2 linked regions of the Drosophila melanogaster genome follow. The main gene of each other region encodes a partner of the protein of the gene in region 2 in a complex. Each region holds a gene or a part of one and is shown on either strand. Other genes may lie near its edges.

What was found.
Region 1: CG7483 (region 2) and mago share a complex: the UniProt entries of both Drosophila melanogaster proteins name them as parts of the mRNA splicing-dependent exon junction complex.

The regions. Positions count from the first base shown.
Region 1 is NT_033778.4:21,126,930-21,130,276, reverse strand, and holds mago (mago nashi), read right to left. Parts: upstream 1,701-3,347; 5' UTR 1,584-1,700; coding exon 1,323-1,583; intron 1,265-1,322; coding exon 1,082-1,264; 3' UTR 540-1,081; downstream 1-539. Other genes in the region: magi, read left to right, coding at 1-402; Tmtc3 (transmembrane O-mannosyltransferase targeting cadherins 3), read left to right, coding at 3,258-3,347. UniProt on the Drosophila melanogaster protein: Core component of the splicing-dependent multiprotein exon junction complex (EJC) deposited at splice junctions on mRNAs. Involved in exon definition of genes containing long introns, including the rolled/MAPK gene.
Region 2 is NT_033777.3:8,311,092-8,314,845, reverse strand, and holds the start of CG7483 (uncharacterized protein), read right to left. Parts: upstream 1,639-3,754; 5' UTR 1,509-1,638; coding exon 1,376-1,508; intron 1,316-1,375; coding exon 949-1,315; intron 894-948; coding exon 702-893; intron 641-701; coding exon 133-640; 3' UTR 1-132. Other genes in the region: CG11698 (uncharacterized protein), read right to left, coding at 1,814-2,602; CG11694 (uncharacterized protein), read left to right, coding at 2,778-3,563. UniProt on the Drosophila melanogaster protein: ATP-dependent RNA helicase. Core component of the splicing-dependent multiprotein exon junction complex (EJC) deposited at splice junctions on mRNAs. Involved in exon definition of genes containing long introns, including the rolled/MAPK gene.

The sequences.
Region 1 (3,347 bases), on a different chromosome or scaffold from region 2:
TGTGGAGAGCTCAAGGTGGGCGATCGCATAGTGGCAGTAAACCGCATCGAGATAGCTGGCATGTCGCACGGCGATGTAGTGAATCTCATCAAGGAGTCTGGTCTTCATGTGCGTCTCACTATCGGCGTTCCGCTGAAGGAGGGTGGTCCCAGTCCTGGCGGCAGTAGCGTCGGTGTGTCCAGCAACACTCCGCTGCAGGCATCTCCCAGTCTCCTGAAGGCACAACTCTCCCACCAGCAGCAACTTCCGCAGCAGCATCTACAGCAAGCGCAGCTGAATCACCACCACCAGCATCTTGAGATGCCAATGTCAATGCCCGTGCCAGGACATGGCAGCTATTTGGAGCGACCCAGTAACAATATCTCAGCCACTTTGGCGCTGCATCAGCAGCCACAATTATGACTCTGAGACCTACGCATTCGGCTCTATAAGAGCTTTCTATAGTGTTGCATCGCCTGCAGGCCCTTAGTTTGTACTTTCGTTAGCAAAGTACTCACCCCAAAGACTGAATTTAGTAGCATATGTAAGCCAAACCCTTTGCAAGTCTCAAAACCGTATGTGAGTGCGTATTTTATTCCAGTTTCTTAAGATACCGATCATTATCTTAGGCTAAGTTACTGCTTGTACTTAAACGTTAAGACAATTTGCCAGTTTGTGAGATATTAATCACTTAGCTTAAGCTGTTTTAGACATATACGAATTGTACAAATGTAAAGGACTTTAAATTTTTATCTCGAGTATGTATATTATTCAAACACAATAGATATTAAATTGTATTTTTCAAATATACCTACACATTATAACATCAAAAGTTAAATGGTTTACTATTGTGTTTGCTATTATTGTTAAACTTGTTGTCTGCTACTACATCGAAGATTTGCTATTTACTTCTATAGCACAATCTAGACTGTACACAAGACTTTGAAAACAAAGTATCTTCCAATCCTTTTTTATTCACTGCAAACTGTACCAAAAAGTACAAAGGTATAGCTTATACAATTACAAGTATCGTAGAAGTTCCATTATAAAATACGATGTGTCCGTCCGATAAATAGGCTATGCTTGAGGTGGTGGCTACGGCTTATATGGGCTTGATCTTGAAATGCAGGCCGATGAGTGAGAAGACCAGGCACTTGAGATCCTGCACCAGGTAGTAAAAGCATCGCAGGCCCTCGGGATCTTTTGACCGGTTCACGTCCACCAATGATCCCGTTTTCGAGGTGGTGAACGAGATGTGCTCGTCTCCGATGACGATCTCCAGTTCCTGAAAAAGACACATGGTTGTTTAGTTGAGCTCTAGTTACGGAGTGCGGCAAACCGACCTGTCGACCCACGCGATCTGGTGGCGGCCAGGGCAGATCGTCCTCCTGCATGATCTCCGAGTCGATGATGATTCGCTTCAGTTCTTCCATCACGGACTGGTGGACGAAGGCCTCCTTGCGGATCATGGTGTCGTTCTTGTAGTTGGAGTTGTTGGCGTACCGCAGCTTGCCATCCGGCCGGAACTCGAACTCCAAGAATTCGTGCCCGAACTTGCCCTTGTGTCCGACGTAGTAGCGTAGGTAAAAGTCCTCCGTGGACATGATTGCTTCTAGTTTAAAGCGTAACTTTGAAAGACTTTCAGAAAAATATCAATTTTTGGTTTCCCACTCTTTTTCCTTTACTACAACGCGTTAGAGATGGGAAAACACACGGAATAACTATCACCGCGTATCGATAAGTGTTCGCTGCGAATGGCTGGCAGGGATGAGGAAGAGAAGCCAGCCTATCGGCGTATCGATAACACAACAATAATCCACGTACAAGTCGCGCATTTGGCACTGATTTTTATTAAAATGTAATTCAGTTTTGGATGCCATGGAACTACCTCAACAAGTATGTGAACGACAGGGCGGTGTGTGAGAACCCATCTGTTAAACGGTGCTCGAAACTCGCTGGGCAACATTGTAATTATTGGCGAATTGAAACAAAGTTGGCAAATCGGGTTTGTTTGCGGCCGTGTGATTGTGTGCGTGTGCGAGGCCATCGCCGTTGTAATGGCGTCCATGTCACTAAAATGGGAGAGGACATGCGGCTGGCTCTCCGGTTCCAGCGCCCATAGCCATCGCCATGTCCTTATCCTTCTCCAGTGCCCCGTATCTCGGTCAAAGTAATTTTACAAAAACACACACGGCCATTAATTTGCGCTCGGCGAGCGGGAGAGCCATGAGCACGGAGAGCGCACGTCCTGGCAAGTGAAAGTGCAAGGATGCGGGACCGCGCATGTGTCGCTCTTGGCGGGAAAATGGAATAAGGGTAAACGGAGCACGTGCCCGCCCGGTCGTCCTTCGGGAAAAGTCGGTCGTGCAACAAAGTTGCGCTCAGCTGAGATGCAATCCTCTCCAGCTCCCGTTGAAGCTAGGCCCCTTTTTTCGCTCTTTACGAGCGCTTACTTCGCTTGTGGTGGTTTGTTTTGACTGAACGCCCGGAAAATCGATGGCATTGAGTGCAACATTGTGGCATCCGCCCATCTGCCCACCGATGTGCCCCGCCTAGTAATGCTCCAGGTCCCGCAACATTTACAACAGTTTATGCAAACAAATCTCTCACGCGCTCTTCGCCTCTCTAAAAGCGCTCTCCGTCCGCATACTTGTACTTGTGCGTACCCAAAGTCCGGATCCGGAGCTCTGTCGGTCCGCCCGGGTTACAACTTTGTTAACTTCGGGCTTTTGTGTGTGCAGTCGGTAACCAGGACAGTAACCGGGAAGGAGTTACTTTGTTGCGTATTAATTGATTTTTTCCGCAATCAGTTTTTGCTTCTTTGTATAACTTCAAGTGCTCATAAAAAGCGGTAGAAAGTTTGTCTTTAAAAAGACTTTGACTTGGGGGAAAATCGGTAAGTTGCGGATGAAGGACTATGGAAAGTAAGAGGATTTGGGTGTGTATCCAGAAAAGATGCGAGGGCTTACATATACATTACTGCACAATTTTGTTGCTCGGGGGAATCCCCTTTCAAAAAAAATATATAGATATGTATGTTGCCTACATTTAGGGGCTTTCTCACTAATAGGAAGTGTCTATACTTAAATTGGTGGACTTGTATACTTAATTAGTTTCCAGTTAACTTAAACTAATGGTTTTCCCACTTTCTCATTTTTTTCCAGGCCATCTAGGGACCTGCCGACCGTGGCTGGGTAAAGCCCTACATGCAACATTTCGCCGCCTGAACGAACAATTGTGGGTACATGACGCCTTTCACGAAGTAACGCGAAATCAACATGTCAACGAACCCCAACCCCGGAATCCATCAGTATGCACCCTCCACTTTGCCGAGGGAACGGGAGCGGGAAGGAGCCACAAACTCGCCG
Region 2 (3,754 bases):
GTTATTTATTATTATTATACAGATTTTGGTTGTCTATTGAAATTCAAATACTCTTCAAATGTATTTACTTCATTCGTTTGTTGTTACGGCTAGGAAAAGTGCGTTACATAAAAGTAATGATAGAATATTAGTTTAGATCAAGTCAGCCACGTTCATGGGCATCTCGTCGATTTGTGTGGAGTAGTACTGCTCAATGTCGCGCAGGATGCGGATATCGTCCGATTTGACAAAGTTAATTGCAACACCTTTGCGTCCGAAACGACCAGAACGACCGATGCGATGGATGTACAGCTCACGGTTGTTGGGCAAATCGTAGTTGATGACCAGCGACACCTGCTGTACATCGATACCCCGAGCCCACACATCGGTGGTGATGAGCACTCGCGACTGGCCGGCTCGGAACTCCTTCATGATCTCGTCACGCTCCTTTTGCGGCATATCGCCGTGCATCGAGCTGACTGTAAAGTTAGCCTCGCGCATCTTCTCCGTCAGCCAGTCCACCTTGCGTTTCGTGTTGCAGAAGATGACGGCCTGGGTAATGGTCAGAGTATCGTACAGATCGCACAGGGTATCGAATTTCCATTCCTCGCGCTCCACGGCGACGAAGAACTGCTTGATGCCTTCCAGTGTCAATTCGTCACTGTGAGGGAATGGAATTTATGAATCATACTGCGTATATGGGGGAGCATCATATTGCTTACCGCTTGACCAAGATGCGAATCGGATCTGTCATAAATTTGGAGGTCATCTCGAGTATCTCGTGGGGCAAGGTAGCTGAGATGAGCACCACCTGGGTGGCTGGTGGCAAGTAGCGATACACATCGTATATCTGTTCCTTGAAACCCTTATTAAGCATCTCGTCAGCTTCGTCCAGCACTAGCATCTTGATGGCTCTATAAAATGTACTTATAATTATAATATTGTTTGATCGGGCACAATGAAACATACCTTGTTCGCAGCACTCGTCGCTTGATCATGTCGAAGACTCGTCCTGGAGTGCCGCTCACAATGTGTTGACCGTAGTCCAATTTGCGGATATCCTCGCCCAGGTTGGTGCCACCGATGCACACATGGCACTGGACATTCATCATGTCGCCGAGGGCAAGAATGACTTTCTGGATTTGCACAGCCAACTCGCGAGTGGGCGACAGGCACAGAACCTGCGTCTCCCGCAGCGTGGTGTCCAGGCTCTGCAGGATGGAGATGGAGAAGGTGGCGGTTTTGCCCGTGCCTGATTGTGCCTGGGCAATCACATCCCGTCCCTTGACGATAGGCGTAATGCTCCTTTGCTGAATGGCCGAGGGTTTCTCGAAGCCTTGGGAGTGCAGAAAACTGGATTAGTTCTAGACCGGCCATAGGTATACACACCACTCACCGTACGCGTAGATGCCGCGTAGCAGCTCCTCCTTTAGATTCATGGCGTTGAATGTGGGTATCACCTCCACATCCTCGCTCGTCTCGAACTCCACGTTGGAGAGGTCCTCCGCCTGGGCATTCTTGCGCGCCATGTTCACGATTTGTTCGCGTGCGGTTTCGGCTGATATTAATAAATATTTACAGTCTTTTTCGGCTAATTTTTCTGACTTTCACAGAAAAAAATGCGGTCCGCTTACTAGGGGTGGCCTATCAATTGCTTAGCAACAATCGATTATTGAATCGGCGTCGATTTAATTTGATATCGATATGTTTTCACTTATTTTGCGACAAGTGGCAACACTGATATCGGGCGGAAAAAATTTAAAGTGAATATATGTTCTTATTTATTGTATTTTATAAAATATAAATATGATTATTGCCATAACAAACAAGAAACTCAACTTGTTTTTTCCGGAGTGCTACTTCTTCTCCTGCGCAGGAAGTTCTCGAGCGACTGAAGATCCTTTCGCTTCAGCATCTTAATCCTGCTCACCAGTTTTTGCAAAGCTTCGATCCGTTGCTGTGCTTCCTTGGCGGCGTCGTTGGCCTTCTTAGCGCTCTGCTTATTTCGCTCCAGATCCTTCTGAGCCTCGCACATGCAGCTATGGAGCTCTTCCACCCGCATCCTGGCCGCTTTCAGAAGGCTGCGCTTTTCCAGGGCCTCTTTCTGGGCACTGTCGGCCATCCTCCGGATGTTATCGAGATTTCCGCCCATTTCCTTTAGCATACTCTTCATAATGTTCACGGATGTGCAGAGCTTGTCACGGATCCCCTTTGCCGACGTCGCCGAGCACGAGCTGGCAGCAATGGCTCGTTGGATTTCCTCGATAACCCTGTTCGTTTCTGCCAGACTTTTGGTGTATTCATCGAGGAGCTGCTTCTTCCCGTTGAGAGCCGCCTCCGCAGCCTTGGCCGCCTGCAACGCCCTGTCCGCCAGCATTTCCCGTGCCCTGTAGCCCGCCATCTCCGCGGCACATGGCTGCGCATCCTTGGCGTCCTTCGCATCCTTGGCCGCCTTCGAGGCCACCTGGCTGGCTTTCATGCTCGTCTTGCAGGGAAGGGAGCCGGGCTTGAAACGCGGATCATTCCGCTGGGCAGGATGCGCGGCGGTCGACAGCAGGATGTTCGAAAGAAGCAACATCGTAACCAGGGAGTCGCAACGCATTGGGAATCTTGCATCGTACATAAATCTCAAGGCTCATCAGGAAATCGAAATGTGGAGATAATAATGGGAATATAGCAGCTCCACCTTTCAAATCACTATTATTTGAAATATTTGTACAGTAACCACAAGTTACCTGGAGTATATATTTCTTAAATATCTTTAGAAATCCGTTTAATACAACTATTTCGAGTTAAGCATGGAGATAGCACGAATCGCATTTCTACTTTTCTTCCTGTTCTCAGATCATTCTGCGGGCCACAAGTTGCCGCAGTCCTCCAATGAGATAGCTGCTCTAATGTCGGATCATCATGGTGATGGCGACAACAGTGTGTCGTCATCCTCCGGCGGTGCCCCGTGCGACTTCAAGATGAATGGAAAGACCAGGGTAAAGGCCTCATGCATTGCGCAGAAGGCGGCCAAGGAAGCCATGGAGGCATCCGATGCCCAGATAGAGGCTGGCGAGGCAGCTGCCCGCCAGGTGAAGCAGCAACTGGCCGACAAAGCGCTGGCCGCAGCCAAGGCGGCAGAAGCTGCTCTGGCCGGCAAGCAACAGATTGTCGAGCAACTGGAGTCCGAGGTGCGCGAGGGGGAGCTAGTGGTCCAGGAGGAGAGCACCTTGTTACAGACCACCCAAACTACTTATGCTGCGGCCGGGCAAGCGGCCAAACAGGCGGCAGATCAGCTGAACACCATTACGCTGGCGGTGAAGAATGCGCAGGATAATGTGGTCAACTCGGAGCACGTGGCCAGTGGCGCTCAGCAGGAGCTGGGCGAGAAGCAACAGCTTGTGGAAGCGGCCAAGAAGCGGGTGGAGCTATTGCTCCGCCAGCTGGAGGTGGCCCGTGTGGATTTCAAGAATACCAAAAACGCCGCCGAGAAGGCAGCCTGTGCTGCCCAGGAGGCCAGGCATAGGGCCACCAGGGAGCGCAGGAGGGCGGAACTGAGGCACTTACTCTGGCTGAAGAGGGGGCGCACCAACTGAAGCCAATAACTTGTATATCTTATATTTTATTTTACTTTGCATTTTCAAAAGGGAGAATATAATTCAGTTTTATTAAATTCAATAGTTCGTAGGTGAGATCACAATTATAAACTACAAATTGTGACATCAAGTTTATCATGATGCAATTGGGGATTACGGGGCGTATACTCAACACACCTCGCTAAGCTTCC